Xenopus tropicalis: one gene and its partners. The protein of the gene in region 1 purifies or fractionates together with the protein of each later gene. This does not show direct contact. Links are inferred from orthologs where the notes say so. Each region holds a gene or a part of one and is shown in the gene's direction. Other genes may lie near its edges.

Evidence for each region.
Region 2: the proteins of wdr82 (region 1) and cxxc1 purify together in Homo sapiens (affinity purification with western blotting; 7 studies listed by BioGRID and IntAct, with this or other methods). This does not show direct contact. The link is inferred for Xenopus tropicalis from reciprocal best matches to the Homo sapiens genes WDR82 and CXXC1.
Region 3: the proteins of wdr82 (region 1) and ppp1cb purify together in Homo sapiens (affinity purification with mass spectrometry; 5 studies listed by BioGRID and IntAct, with this or other methods). This does not show direct contact. The link is inferred for Xenopus tropicalis from reciprocal best matches to the Homo sapiens genes WDR82 and PPP1CB.
Region 4: the proteins of wdr82 (region 1) and setd1b purify together in Homo sapiens (affinity purification with western blotting; 4 studies listed by BioGRID, with this or other methods). This does not show direct contact. The link is inferred for Xenopus tropicalis from reciprocal best matches to the Homo sapiens genes WDR82 and SETD1B.

The regions. Positions count from the first base shown.
Region 1 is NC_030680.2:128,228,532-128,232,658, forward strand, and holds the start of wdr82 (WD repeat-containing protein 82), read left to right. Parts: upstream 1-1,263; 5' UTR 1,264-1,471; intron 1,472-3,126; 5' UTR 3,127-3,156; coding exon 3,157-3,317; intron 3,318-4,127. UniProt on the Homo sapiens protein: Regulatory component of the SET1/COMPASS complex implicated in the tethering of this complex to transcriptional start sites of active genes.
Region 2 is NC_030684.2:1,148,021-1,152,155, forward strand, and holds the start of cxxc1 (CXXC-type zinc finger protein 1), read left to right. Parts: upstream 1-1,309; 5' UTR 1,310-1,428; coding exon 1,429-1,431; intron 1,432-4,135. UniProt on the Homo sapiens protein: Transcriptional activator that exhibits a unique DNA binding specificity for CpG unmethylated motifs with a preference for CpGG.
Region 3 is NC_030681.2:5,936,981-5,941,156, forward strand, and holds the start of ppp1cb (serine/threonine-protein phosphatase PP1-beta catalytic subunit), read left to right. Parts: upstream 1-1,315; 5' UTR 1,316-1,321; coding exon 1,322-1,373; intron 1,374-4,176. UniProt on the Homo sapiens protein: Protein phosphatase that associates with over 200 regulatory proteins to form highly specific holoenzymes which dephosphorylate hundreds of biological targets.
Region 4 is NC_030677.2:162,135,684-162,139,248, reverse strand, and holds part of setd1b (histone-lysine N-methyltransferase SETD1B), read left to right. Parts: intron 1-1,484; coding exon 1,485-1,651; intron 1,652-1,903; coding exon 1,904-2,035; intron 2,036-2,337; coding exon 2,338-2,457; intron 2,458-3,565. UniProt on the Homo sapiens protein: Histone methyltransferase that catalyzes methyl group transfer from S-adenosyl-L-methionine to the epsilon-amino group of 'Lys-4' of histone H3 (H3K4) via a non-processive mechanism.

The DNA.
Region 1 (4,127 bases):
CCGAATGCTTTTGTGAAAGATTCTGCCAAATACTGAACCAAATCCTAATTTGCATATGCAACCTAAGGAACAGAATGCACAAGAAAGAACCATGTGCAGCAAAACATTTTCTACTTCAGCTTATATGTGGCGAAAAGTCCCATGATTTTAAGGATTCTGATTCCGCCCAGGACTGAATCCTGGATTTGGTGCATCCCTACTGACAACAAGCTTTATTTTTCACAAATTACCACACAACCCAGTTTCAGGAAAACCAAAAGTCCAGTGTCGGACTCCTCCAGACTACAGGTGCATGGTGCTCCCCCAGCCCAGCACGACTGACAGATCCAGCCTGCATAGTTAAACTGGTGAGACCTGGACTAGAACTGTATTTGATTTTCTACTGAAGCTGCTTATTCTTCCTGCTTGTTGGAACCCCTAGGCCTGAGGATTTATGGGTTGTTGGAAAGGATGCACCATATCCAGAATTAGGTTTAGGATTCGGCCAAATCCAAGTACCTGGCTGAACCAAATCCTTAAAACTGTGATTTTTTTTGTCAAATGAACATGGAACTTGAACATTTTTAACCACGCGCTGCACGTGCGGTTCTCTCGAATCCTTCCATAGCCTTATGCAAAGTAGGATCCAAATTAGTTTCAGTATTCAGCCGAAACTTTCATTAAAGATTCAGGGTTTGGCCAAATCCCAGAATTTTGGATTCAGCACATCCATTGCTATTGATACCTTGACAAGTGGACAACGTTTCTTTATTAATAATAATTGCAGTAAGTTACACCAATTACCAGTATTTAGTCAAGGCCACAAAGAACACTGTTAAGAACACTGAACACTAGTCAGCCTTTGCGCATGGCTGCATTGTGAGCGTTGTAGCCAACAGCAGCTGGCGCACATTACATTGCCTACCACTGCTTCCCCATGGACAAATAGAGAATGTTGACACTTCAAAAAAAATACTTGAAAGCATGTATTCTCACTCTTTTACTGACTGATTGGGCGAACCCGAGAATGCTTCAGGACATTACGAGTATTCCTCGCACACCAGCCTGGAACGAGTTCTCTTGCCACAATCAACATGGCGACACCGTAAAACCACTTCCGCCATGGCGCCGTTCTGTAGGCGTTATCCTGCAGGACGTCGTTACGCATGACGCCAGAGACGTTTCCGTATTGCGTCTACCCCCTGAATCAGCCAATAGCACATGACGCTTTTCCAGGAGCGGGCTGTCTCCTTCCCGGCTTCAGAAATAACATGGCGGAGACAATGAGAATGTAGGAACGCGCGCGATCCGTATGCCCAAATGTCGCACAACTACCAGGCGCCGATAAGCTGGTGATCGGGAAGGAACGTATAAAGTAGCTTCTCTTAACTTTCGGGAGGGTAAATACTGCCATTCGTAAGGCCCGGGTCCTCCTGAAAACGTGGCTCGACTCGCAAGGAACTGCTCGTTCTGTCTGGCCTATTTCTAAAAGGTTGTTCATATATCTGATACTAGAGCCAGCTTTATATGCCCGCCCATGCTTATTGTACATTGACTAGTATAGCAAGTGCTTTACGGCAGATTAGCAGCCACATTGCCCGGGATCGCAGTAGGAACTGACAAAGTCCACAAGAATGAATATTATTTCCAATCAGCTACTCAGTATGTGTGTTTTACTAGTTTTAGCATTTCAAAGGAGGTGGTCCATGCCTTTCAGCATTCAGGGGGGGCGTTTGCACTAAGCCCCCAGCACTATAGGGCTCTGTTAGGACATTAATTTTGATAAAACCTTTAATATATGTTTCATCTTTTAAGGAATTCTATATATTGAAAACATTTTACATCAGAGATGTCCAGTCTCTGCCTTTCAGCTGCTGTTTAACTGCAGTCATGGTAGATGAGGGTTGCAGTTCATGAATTGGAGAATCACTACTAGTTGGAACACCAGAATTTCTTCAGTGATCAGGGCTCCCATTCCATCTATAAAGGGCAGTATTCCCCCATTTCCAGTTTGTTGGAACGTAAGCAAGTAATCCCGCCCATACACAAACCTAAATGGTGGTAAAGTTAGAGGTGATCCTTGCTCCTTCTGCTTTGGGTGCTTAACATTTGGCTAAACCATTTTATTCTCGCCTACAGTCCAGTATCTAGACCTCTGCCTTTTAAGACAAACACCGTTATGCCGTCAAGTATAAACACATTTTCTGTTTTCCGCTGAGTATACACATGAACCTCTGACATCACATGAAAGCTTGTTGAATTCCGCTGCACATTTAATGTAACTTTAATTATATTGCTGTATGTAGGCAGGCCTGGACTGTTAATCTGTGGATTTTTGCAAATGCCAGAGGGGCTGCTGTAAGTTACTATAGGCAGTCACCATTCAGTGAGCTGGTTGGGGACTGTTTGGGCCTATTTTGAGTCCCAGACTAGACCAGTATTTAGAAGTTCAGACTAATCTGTGGGAATCCATGCACTGCTTAATTAAACATTTGCATAAACAGAATTTTCTTGAGTAAAGGGGTCTGTGATAGCAGTTAAATGCTGTGAGAAATTGACCTATTAGGGTTAGGTGCTAGGAGCTTGAAGCTCTTTATGGGGTCATAATGATTATATGTATTGTGGTCTTTTGGGTATATAGAATGTGTTTTCCCACATTATTGACCTAGACTGCTTATTCTTCCTGCACAAGCCCATATTAAATGCCATGCAGAGGCTGTACAGACAGTGACTAGGGCAATATTCTAATATCATTAAAACTCTATGGGGAAATCTAGATGTGGCATTGTCTATTAGACCAGGAATCGGTAACTCATCTGCCTTAGAGATGCTGAACTGCAACTTCCAGTGTCCAGTCAAATGCTGTTGGGGTACTAGTGGTCTTTTGATAGACTCAGATTGCTTTTTAATGATGTACAAAGGCCAGTTTTTAACCATAAGACTAATCCAGAGGTCTGATGTAACTGGGAAATGAGCACTTACTTACTAACCCCCCTCATGTTCTTATGCACTACTGCAGAATATAGGATTTTGTCCCGATTTGAACAGTTTATATATAAGTGCCCACTTAATTATGTCCTAACAGCCATCTGGTTTTTTTTTTCTAGTTTCAAATTTCTTAACCATTCATCATTTCCCTTTTTGCAGGGGCCTGCTGTCCCAGCACATTGGGTCATCATGAAGCTCACCGATAATGTGCTCCGAAGTTTCCGTGTGGCAAAGGTCTTCCGGGAAAACTCTGATAAAATAAATTGCTTTGACTTTAGTCCAACTGGTGAAACAGTCATATCCAGCAGCGACGATGATTCAATTGTGCTTTATGATTGCCAGGAGGGGAAGTAAGTACATATGTGATATTTAAAATACCTTTTTATGTTGGGAACTAATGTCAGCAAACATATTTACCTGACTGAAGAGCTCACCCCTAAATGCTGTGTTTTCACTTTTGACTAATAAATCACAGGAGAACACCCCCCTTGAAAATATTTCCATGTGCTGGTCCTGTTTTGTATAGACACTGTTAAGGGTATCGTTCTCTTCCAGTACTGTAGCACAGGTAGACGAGACAGGGTATGCCTGCAGACATGGAAATTAGGGTACATGTTCACACTGGTTGGACAGCTCTGCCCTAACAAAACATAGGCTGAAAATGTCAGTAGTAAAGCACAGTAAAGCTGTATTGATTCACATTTACAGCAGCCCTATGCATAGTATGTTACACCCCAGTGATCCCCTCTGTACGTGCTCTTTTTTGTTCCACCCCTGTGAATAAGAATGCTATGATTGGCACATACACACATTGCGTAGTAAGCATAGAGTCAGTGTGTCAGTGATCCCCAACCAGTGGCTCGGGGCAACATGTTGCTCCCCAACCCCTGGGATGTTGCTCTCAGTGCCCCCAAACCAGGTAGTTATTTTGGAATTCCTGGCTTGGGGCAAGTTTTGGTTGAATAAAAACAAGATTTGCTACCAAATAAAGCCTCCTGTAAGCTGATAGTGTGCATAGAGTCTACCTAATAGCCAATCTTAGCCCTTATTTGGCATCTCCATGAACTTTTATGATGCTTGTGTTGTCTCTAAGTTTTTATACATTTGGCTGTGGCTCACGAGTAAGAAAGTTTGGGGACCCCTGCTGTATGTGAAAACTT
Region 2 (4,135 bases), on another chromosome or scaffold:
GTGTGCCCAGAACATTCCCTCTCTGTATATTTGTATTTATACATATGGGTAGGGGGTGCCATAGTGTTTCCCTTAGACAGTACAGTATGGGGGTACAGCTTATTGTGTGCCCAGAACATTCCCTCTCTGTATATTTGTATTTATACATATGGGTAGGGGGTGCCATAGTGTTTCCCTTAGACAGTACAGTATGGGGGTACAGCTTATTGTGTGCCCAGAACATTCCCTCTCTGTATATTTGTATTTATACATATGGGTAGGGGGTGCCATAGTGTTTCCCTTAGACAGTACAGTATGGGGGTACAGCTTATTGTGTGCCCAGAACATTCCCTCTCTGTATATTTGTATTTATACATATGGGTAGGGGGTGCCATAGTGTTTCCCTTAGACAGTACAGTATGGGGGTACAGCTTATTGTGTGCCCAGAACATTCCCTCTCTGTATATTTGTATTTATACATATGGGTAGGGGGTGCCATAGTGTTTCCCTTAGACAGTACAGTATGGGGGTACAGCTTATTGTGTGCCCAGAACATTCCTTCTCTGTATATTTGTATTTATACATATGGGTAGGGGGTGCCATAGTGTTTCCCTTAGACAGTACAGTATGGGGGGGGGGGCTGCATTACTCACACGCTCCCCAGTGACAGACACACTTACAGAGCCGCTGGGATTCAGTAATGAAGCAAACTCATGGCTTCGGCTCTAAAGCTGCCAGTAAAGCTGATTTACTTCCCCAGTTACTGGGGGGGGGGGGGGGGGGTCCCTAACCATTAAGCACATAACAAGGGGCTGCTAAATGGGAGGGAGGGGGGGCTGCTAAGCGCAATAATAACAGCGTTGGGCCCATATCCCGCCCCACTGGCGCTACTGCTACTGACTCAGCTTTGCTAATGCCCCGTGTATAACATACCCCCCCCCCCCCCAGCTCTCAGATTCTTACACAAAAGCCCCTCATTTCCCTGTGGAAAGATACACAGTTCCCCAAATGTAATTAGATAAGGGAATACCCCCCTCACTGAGGTACAAGTGTAACTAATCAGCTAAATGGGTCCCATTGGGGGAGTGAGTTTTGCAGGTTAAAGGGCAACTTCACCTTCAGTAGCTAAAAAAAATACCCAGAAATGTGTTCAAACTTCACAAAACCCGCCAAGTCTAGTAATGTGGGAGGGGCGTGTAGGGGGGGCGTGGCCACAGCGTCTCAATGTTGTACGGAATAGCCTCTCACTCTCAGCTCCTCCCCCTTCCCTCCGTGTCCCACAATCCCCTCTGAGCCGCCCCGGCCCCGCCCCCACACACACATTAACCCTCAGTTCCCCACTTCCCGCTCTCTCGCAGGTACTTCCGGCCGCAGCGCTGGTCACGGGGTGTGCGCGTCACGGAGAGGGACCCGGAAGCGGAAGTGGATGTTGTTGCTACGGGAGGAGAGATGGTGAGACAATATTATCCGATGCGCTGAGTGCGCTGTACCCGGGGATGGTGTGGGGGTGGGTTTGGGGGGGGCCCGGGAAGGGTTTGTGGGGGTCCCCTGGGGTGCGGGGGTATCGGGGTGGGGGGGGGAGTCCCCTCACATTGCTATTGGCTGTATCCAGCGCCTTAACCCTGTGTGTATCCCCTGTGTGTGTGTGTAGCCCCGCCCCCTGTGTGTATCCCCGCCCCTTGTGTGTAGCCCCGCCCCCTGTGTGTATTGTACTAATGGGCCCCACAGGTACAGGGGGTTATACTGTGTCACACTGGCACTGCCCCCCCAGCATTGTACTAATGGGCCCCACGGGTACAGGGGGTTATACTGTGTCACACTGGCACTGCCCCCCCAGCATTGTACTAATGGGCCCCACGGGTACAGGGGGTTATACTGTGTCACACTGGCACTGCCCCCCAGCATTGTACTAATGGGCCCCACGGGTACAGGGGGTTATACTGTGTCACACTGGCACTGCCCCCCCAGCATTGTACTAATGGGCCCCACGGGTACAGGGGGTTATACTGTGTCACACTGGCACTGCCCCCCCAGCATTGTACTAATGGGCCCCACGGGTACAGGGGGTTATACTGTGTCACACTGGCACTGCCCCCCCAGCATTGTACTAATGGGCCCCACGGGTACAGGGGGTTATACTGTGTCACACTGGCACTGCCCCCCAGCATTGTACTAATGGGCCCCACGGGTACAGGGGGTTATACTGTGTCACACTGGCACTGCCCCCCAGCATTGTACTAATGGGCCCCACGGGTACAGGGGGTTATACTGTGTCACACTGGCACTGCCCCCAGCATTGTACTAATGGGCCCCACGGGTACAGGGGGTTATACTGTGTCACACTGGCACTGCCCCCCAGCATTGTACTAATGGGCCCCACGGGTACAGGGGGTTATACTGTGTCACACTGGCACTGCCCCCCAGCATTGTACTAATGGGCCCCACGGGTACAGGGGGTTATACTGTGTCACACTGGCACTGCCCCCCAGCATTGTACTAATGGGCCCCACGGGTACAGGGGGTTATACTGTGTCACACTGGCACTGCCCCCAGCATTGTACTAATGGGCCCCACGGGTACAGGGGGTTATACTGTGTCACACTGGCACTGCCCCCCCAGCATTGTACTAATGGGCCCCACAGGTACAGGGGGTTATACTGTGTCACACTGGCACTGCCCCCCAGCATTGTACTAATGGGCCCCACGGGTACAGGGGGTTATACTGTGTCACACTGGCACTGCCCCCCCAGCATTGTACTAATGGGCCCCACGGGTACAGGGGGTTATACTGTGTCACACTGGCACTGCCCCCCAGCATTGTACTAATGGGCCCCACGGGTACAGGGGGTTATACTGTGTCACACTGGCACTGCCCCCCAGCATTGTACTAATGGGCCCCACGGGTACAGGGGTTATACTGTGTCACACTGGCACTGCCCCCCCAGCATTGTACTAATGGGCCCCACAGGTACAGGGGGTTATACTGTGTCACACTGGCACTGCCCCCCCAGCATTGTACTAATGGGCCCCACGGGTACAGGGGGTTATACTGTGTCACACTGGCACTGCCCCCCCAGCATTGTACTAATGGGCCCACGGGTACAGGGGGTTATACTGTGTCACACTGGCACTGCCCCCCAGCATTGTACTAATGGGCCCCACGGGTACAGGGGGTTATACTGTGTCACACTGGCACTGCCCCCCAGCATTGTACTAATGGGCCCCACGGGTACAGGGGGTTATACTGTGTCACACTGGCACTGCCCCCCAGCATTGTACTAATGGGCCCCACGGGTACAGGGGGTTATACTGTGTCACACTGGCACTGCCCCCCAGCATTGTACTAATGGGCCCCACAGGTACAGGGGGTTATACTGTGTCACACTGGCACTGCCCCCCAGCATTGTACTAATGGGCCCCACGGGTACAGGGGGTTATACTGTGTCACACTGGCACTGCCCCCCAGCATTGTACTAATGGGCCCCACGGGTACAGGGGGTTATACTGTGTCACACTGGCACTGCCCCCCAGCATTGTACTAATGGGCCCCACGGGTACAGGGGGTTATACTGTGTCACACTGGCACTGCCCCCCAGCATTGTACTAATGGGCCCCACAGGTACAGGGGGTTATACTGTGTCACACTGGCACTGCCCCCCAGCATTGTACTAATGGGCCCCACGGGTACAGGGGGTTATACTGTGTCACACTGGCACTGCCCCCCAGCATTGTACTAATGGGCCCCACAGGTACAGGGGGTTATACTGTGTCACACTGGCACTGCCCCCCCAGCATTGTACTAATGGGCCCCACGGGTACAGGGGGTTATACTGTGTCACACTGGCACTGCCCCCCAGCATTGTACTAATGGGCCTCACAGGTACAGGGGGTTATACTGTGTCACACTGGCACTGCCCCCCAGCATTGTACTAATGGGCCCCACGGGTACAGGGGGTTATACTGTGTCACACTGGCACTGCCCCCCCAGCATTGTACTAATGGGCCCCACAGGTACAGGGGGTTATACTGTGTCACACTGGCACTGCCCCCCAGCATTGTACTAATGGGCCCCACGGGTACAGGGGGTTATACTGTGTCACACTGGCACTGCCCCCCAGCATTGTACTAATGGGCCCCACGGGTACAGGGGGTTATA
Region 3 (4,176 bases), on another chromosome or scaffold:
GATAGGGAATTTTCTGGCATTTAGTAGCCGTGACAAGTAGCTGCTACTAAGTAGCTCTATGTGTCTTTACCCTAAGGGCCTTGACACACGGGTAGATTAGTCTCGTTGTGACAAATCTCTGTTGTTGCGGGTGACTTATCTCCCCACAATGCCTTCCCACCAGCTAGAATGTAAATCACCAGTGGGATGGCATACATGGCACAGCAATTTGCCAAAGTCGACGAAGTTTCCTTGCAACTGAAGTTGCCTTGAGAGGAAACTACAGCAACTTTCACAAATCGCTGCGCCGCGTATGCCATCCCACTGGTGATTTACATTGTAGATGGTGGGATGGCATTGTGGGGAGATGTCACCTGCGATGACGGAGATTTGTCCCAGCGCATCTAATCTCCCCGTGTGTCACGGCCCTAAAAAGGCCATAGGTTCACTGCTACCCCTGCAATAATATATATATACGCACACAGGCCCGCCATGGGGGGGTGAGGGGTACAGTTGTGCCGGGCCTTATATGCCTACACATATACCTACAAATGAACATTTGGTCACAACTGTGGCAATTTTTTAATTATTGCCAGTTTTGAAAATGGCTGAGGTTTAGCTTTTCTTACATACAGAATTTACAAAAATCGAAAATTCTGGAATCTGACTGAAAAAGGGGATATAAACCCTAACTTGAATATAAAATTTGATGAAATTTGATCAAATGCGTCTCTACGTATAAATCAAATGATATATACATGCATGAAGGCAATAAGGCCTGTGCAGGTATATACGGTAATGGAGGGAGGCGGGGAGCCCTGGGCCCGCAGCCCCCCTCACACACTGCATCCTGACACACGGCTCGCTCTGACGTCACGGTTGCTAGGATACCGAGGCTCATGGAACAGTCCAAAACATGAGCCAAGCCCTGAAGAATTATCCAGCGCCTCACGACAAGGGGCGTTTCGATGGGCGGAGCCTTGGGAACGGGCGCCAACAGCATTTCGGCAACCTTAAGTTCTGGCAACTGCGTCACGATTTCAAGACCGCCAGCTGTCACTAAGATCCGCCTTTAAAGTCACAGCTAAAGTTGATAAGGGGCGTGGTATTTTCGTTGAGAGGCGGTACTCTTAGATGTGTTGTCCAGTACGACGCTGCCTATTGGCTGTCGAGCATTATTATTCTATCTGTTAAACTAAAGTACGGGCCCTCTGTGTTTTCCCGCCCATTTTGTGTGACTGGTCTTTCTGCCCCGAAGCCTCCTTGTGGGCGTGGCTGTGCGGCTGTTGTGACGCGGCTCCGCCCGGCTTGTGTTCAGCTGCTGTGCTGAGGGGAACGCAAAATGGCGGACGGAGAGCTGAACGTGGATAGTCTGATCAGCCGACTGCTGGAGGGTAAGTGCCCGGGCCGGCACCGCGGGGGGGAATGGGGGAGAGCTGGGGTGAGAAAGTGAGGGCATTCGGCTGCGGCCAGAGCGACCCCTACAGCTGGGAACTGCGCGCCTGGGAAGTCTAACGTCTGCCCTGCCTGTGGCACTGGGGCCGGGCCTTGGCCTGGGGAGCCGAGCCGTGTGCCCGGGGAGCCGAGCCTGGCCCTGGGGTGTGTGCCCGGGGAGCCGAGCCGTGTGCCCGGGGAGCCGAGCCGTGTGCCCGGGGAGCCGAGCCTTGTGCCCGGGGAGCCGAGCCTTGTGCCCGGGGAGCCGAGCCGTGTGCCCGGGGAGCCTGGCCCTGGGGTGTGTGCCCGGGGAGCCGAGCCTTGTGCCCGGGGAGCCTGGCCCTGGGGTGTGTGCCCGGGGAGCCGAGCCTTGTGCCCGGGGAGCCTGGCCCTGGGGTGTGTGCCCGGGGAGCCGAGCCTGGGCTAGTAATGGGGCCCAGTGGCCCTGCCGCTGAGTGGGGCAAGTGCTTGGGAGGGAGATTTGGCTTGTTAGTAAGGTATGTGGGACAGTTGTACATTAATGGGCCACAGAGAGGCAAGTGGATTATTAGTGGGGCCACAGGAGGGCAAAGTAGGCTATTAATGGGGTGCCGCGGGTGAGGGTGGGCTATTAATAGGGGCAGGTGGGCTATTAATGGGGCGCAGAGCAGGGGCAGGTGGGCTATTAATGGGGCGCAGAGCAGGGGCAGGTGGGCTATTAATGGGGCGCAGAGCAGGGGCAGGTGGGCTATTAATGGGGCGCAGAGCAGGGGCAGGTGGGCTATTAATGGGGCGCAGAGCAGGGGCAGGTGGGCTATTAATGGGGCGCAGAGCAGGGGCAGGTGGGCTATTAATGGATTTATGGGAAGAGGGGCAGGTTGCTCTTTATGGTACATTATACTGGCATGTGGGTGCCAATACTGTATTACTGCTTCTGAAATTGGAGACGATAATTAGCTCAGCTTCTTAGTTTTTTATTAATTTGAGTTAAACCTTTGTGTTCTGCCTGTGGCCCCCCCGCACGTGGAACCCCTAGTGTTGCCCTGCCTGTGGCCCCCGCACGTGGAACCCCTAGTGTTGCCCTGCCTGTGGCCCCCCCGCACATGGAACCCCTAGTGTTGCCCTGCCTGTGGCCCCCGCACGTGGAACCCCTAGTGTTGCCCTGCCTGTGGCCCCCGCACGTGGAACCCCTAGTGTTGCCCTGCCTGTGGCCCCCCCGCACGTGGAACCCCTAGTGTTGCCCTGCCTGTGGCCCCCGCACGTGGAACCCCTAGTGTTGCCCTGCCTGTGGCCCCCGCACGTGTTGCCCTGCCTGTGGCCCCCCCGCACATGGAACCCCTAGTGTTGCCCTGCCTGTGGCCCCCGCAGATGAAGCCAGGGCCTGTGTTGGAGCTCACATACTCATGTTGAATGTGTAACTGATAATATTGTTCAGACTTGTAACACTGAGTATAGACCTTAAGCCTCAACCATAACTGAAATGTAACATTAGTGACGGTGCTTTATATTTTCTTGTTGTTTCTGCAAGATAAGCGCTTGGGCAGTGTATGGGTCCATTAGGGTTTAGGTTATTTACAACTGAAGGAGCTGGGCCCACCCACGGGTCCCACTGCCACTCATACGTACAGCCAGTCCTCCTGAGATACTGTATTGCGTGTTCTGACCCAGGTTCTGTTTATCGCCATGACCTGTTGGTCCCTATCACTCTTGTGTATTGGATTTTACTATAACCTTTACTCTGTTATAAAGGTCAGAGAGCTGCTAATGTAGCACAGAATACACAGGGTGGCTGCACTCTGTATCTGCCGGACGGGAGGGTATATTGATTAACCTGATGTTCCGAGAGGCTAATAAGTGCCCCAACCATTCTGCATAGCAGCACTTATTACCCTCCTGTTTGTAAGTTACACACCCATGTACACTGGAAACTTTGCAGGGCATGGGCCTCCTCATGTTTCTCTCAATGTGTAGATAGATATTCTAGCAGGGAAACATATAGAAAGTAGCCTGTCATGCAGCAGAGTCTATAGCAAATAGGCTGATGGTTTAATAATATTATGTGTGTGTGGGTATAGAAAGAACACTGGTATTCTGGTTTATGCAAACCGAATTTGCCTCCAAATAAGGAATTCAAAAAAAAATGTGTGTTCTAGTGGCGGTGTGTTCTAGTGGCGGTGTGTTCTAGTGGCGGTGTGTTCTAGTGGCGGTGTGTTCTAGTGGCGGTGTGTTCTAGTGCATATAGGGAATAGGCTGATGTTTTTAGGAGTTCCATCTTTGAGAGTATAGAGAGAAGGCTGAAGTTCTGAGATGTACCTTCTTGGGGAATATAGGAGATTGCATGAAGTTCTAGGTGTGTCATGCAAGGAGTTCCCTGTATTTCTAGGTTTGCCACAGTGTGGAATTAGAAAGTTGGTATCTATAACTGTGTTAATTTTAAACACTTGACTAAGCTTTAGAAATAAATATTGATAAAAAAAAGTTAAATGAACTGCAGCTCTGTGGTTGCACAGAATACATCTGTTTTGAAAGTGAAATGTAGCTTCACCTACCTGAACTTGCAGCGTTGCAGTAAAGCTGGTCAGATACAAATATTTACTGCTGACTGTGTCACTCTGCAGTGAGTTGTCTGAACTGGGTAAAGGGTAATATTAATCTTCAGATTAAGATTCACTTCGATGGCAAAATTGATGTAGTTGCCACACAATTGGATCTAGGCCCAAGTGGCCCATTGGGCCCCTTTATATTAATAGATGGTCACTAGATTCCGGTGGGCTGGAGGGGTGA
Region 4 (3,565 bases), on another chromosome or scaffold:
ACATTCACAGCAGTTATTTAAGGCCCACTTCTACAGTTTATCATTAGAAAATGAAATTGTAAGCATAAAATGCAAAGCATGAACTTTGGGTTTATAAAATGAATTGTGTGTTACAAAATGTCCTTCTTAAAACTGGCAACCCATATGTATGTATGTATATATGTATGCATTTGTTTTTGTCACCTCAGGTCTTTTTAGTGCAAAAGCTTTGCTTATTTCCAACACTGAATGCACATGATTGATGCACAACCATGTGTAAATATGATTTGTTCCAAAATATTAGCTTCAAGTTATGCAGAACTGTGTGTAGGAAATCCGAATCCTTCCTGGAATATTTTAATGAAATTGCTCTTAATTTTTTAAAAAAAATTTTAATGTTGGCTTATTTTTTATGCCCCCGTACTAGTAAAAAGGTAGCACAGCATCAAAGAGACGTCTGAGAACTGCAAAATTACAAAATCTAAGTTTTTGGTGCTATGGTACTTTTATGCTGATGCCATAGATTTTCCAGCGGACAGTATTAATAGAAAGTTTCCCTGTTTACAAATAGTTTTAACAATAATTTATTTTTCTTAAAATATCTATAATATACAGGGGCTTTTCTTTATCTGCAAAATTATTTATGCATATGACTAGAAGATGCTATAAAGCTTGGAGCCCCATCTAGTGATCATGGAGCTTAATTTAAATGAAACTGTTAAGGTCTGTGATAAATGCCTCAGATAAACCAAGCAATATGGCAATCCTATTCATATGTATACATGCAAATATGCAGGGATATGTCATTTGCGCTTAAAGCTTTGTCCTATAAAATAATTCTAATTTTAAAACATTTCTTTTTTTTCTCAGTAATAATCAATCAGTACCTTGTACTTTATTCCATCTCAGATATAATTAATTCTTTTCAGAGAGCAGTACTATTTGGCTTATTTAATATTCAAATGATTTTTAGTAGACTTAAGATATGGAGATCCAAATTATGGAAAAATGCCTTATCCAGAAAACCCAAGACCCCAAACATTCTGAATAACAGGTCCCATTAATGTACATAATGGATTTCTGAAACATACATATGTAGCATAGTGTATGATATTGTAATAGTTACAATGTGTACCCAGGTGGTAAGCGGTGCATGGCAGAGAAACAAAAGGAGAACATAGCACTCGAACAAATAAAAATGGTAAACTATAACAGCTCCTTTACCAAACTGCATTGTGATACTTACCATTTGCCAGTATCGCTTTAAAATAATTACAAGGACTGATAAAAAAAACTTTATATTACAATATACTATTTAACAGTCTTAGATGTGGGACCTATCATAGGTTCATGTGGCTAGAATGCTCCAGAAATGGGGGCAAAATGCATATTTTATGGTTTATAAAAGGCATTTTAATATATTTTGGGTGTGATTGCAATTTTAACTTGAACCTCTAAATAAATTTACAGTGAGCCATTACCGGTTTTCCTTAACATATGCTCACCAACCAGTGTTTATTCCCCCAAGAAGAAGAAGCGAGATGATGGTTTACGGGAGCATGTAACAGGATGTGCTCGTAGCGAGGGATATTATAAAATTGATAAGAAAGACAAACTTAAATACCTCATCAACAACCGTTCTTTGACTGAAGAACTTCCCATCGATACCCAGGTAAGAGTTTTGTGTGTGAACAGGCATGCATTTTAAATCATACTGCAATAATGGATGAAGAGCATAATTTTTTTTCTATATTAAAGGGAGCTTTAACTTTTAGTACTTTTAGTACTGTGAGTTTATTTGTGTTTTTTTTTTGTTTTGCGGGCTTGTATTTTTCACTGTTAAGAAAATGTAAATGCATTGATGTGTTCTGTTAAAAGGGTCTTGTAATCTATAATTCTTTTTACTGTCTCCTTTGATACCTAGGGAAAGAGTATCCCAGCTCAGCCTCAAGCCTCCACCCGAGCGGGCTCGGAAAGAAGGTCAGAACAGCGCAGACTGCTCTCTTCCTTCACTGGAAGCTGTGACAGCGACTTGCTCAAATTCAATCAGCTGAAGGTATGTGGCCAGTTGGAAGTCTTGCTTATTTGCTTTCCGTGGATGCAGTTCAAGCTTAACTTGGATGCTAAATGTCTCACTCTGTTTGAAACCACTTTAATATTAATTTAAAGTGCAATATGATAATATGTAGCATATTACAGAGTTAGTAAACTGCATTATTCTACCAATTATACTGTTATACCAATATAGTGATAGTGTGCTAGTTATGTATATTTTTGAATCACTGATAATAAAATCTGCCCTATTACCTTAGAATATTCTGCACTGGCTTCATATGAATTTTTGTTTTCTTTTTTAAGTTCCGAAAGAAGAAGTTGCGTTTCTGCAAGAGCCATATTCACGACTGGGGTCTTTTTGCCATGGAACCAATTATAGCTGATGAGATGGTTATTGAGTATGTGGGACAAAATATTAGACAGGTAAGACTTTTTTAAATCTAGACTTAGAAAAAGCAGTTACTCTCATAGCGTTTCATTACTTGCATAGTTGTAGTTTAGAAGGCTTCACATGAGCAAGTTACTCTTGATTGCTGTAAGGTGGGGGCCAAAAAAATATTAGACATAACTAACATGAACATAGCTCCAGGGCCTGATGGAATGCTTTCAGGAGACCTTAGAGGGATATGGTCTATTTAATTCAGGTTAATATATTAAATTTTACTACTCTTAATTTGGAAGATGGCTGATAAACTGGCAGACAACAGATGTAATTTCTGTTTTAAAATAGCAATACAGTCTTAGCCGGGGTGGTTTGTTGTTAGATTGTAATCTGAATTATACTGCATTTAGAACAATAATGTAATTGTATTCAGCATGGCTTTAAATAACATATATCTCAGAAATGCACCTGATGATAACAGTGCAGTAGGGTCTCAAAGTTAGATACTGGTGTTGTAGAAAATGATCTATGGTGTTGCAAAGGCTTTGGATGCAGTGTTGAGAAAAGAATTTATTGTACAGGTATAAACAAGGTCTGTTGGTCATATAACAAAAGTAGCGCTTCACCATAGCATTCTTTTTGGGTACTGCTTTATCTTATTTTTTGCATTGACTTTGATGTCATTTAATGTAATGTCTTTGCCTTTATGCTGAAGAGAACTAAGCTGCAAGGAGCAACAGAATCTGCAGGTGGCACAGCACACTGAATATTAATCTTATAAATGAAAGTAATGTCAGTGCATAGAATATATACATTTGTAGAGCAGGGTTAAGCACCCTTGACCCCTGTCTAACAGTTCAGCATCACAGGGGCTGCCAAGAATTTACACATAAGCAGAATGGCCAGCATCCATCAAGGGAGATAAAATAAGACTGTAGTAACGATCACTTGTATCTCAAAACAGGTACAAAAATTTTAACAGATATTACAAAGTTGTATAATTTAGTCATAAGGACCTATATATGCATTTAAAAATGACTTTACATCCCCTTTAATGTCACTAATAGTACACAAAGCCAATACACTGATAAAATAAAACATACACAGGATGAAGCCAGAGGTAGCTTATATTTATACATGGTACACATT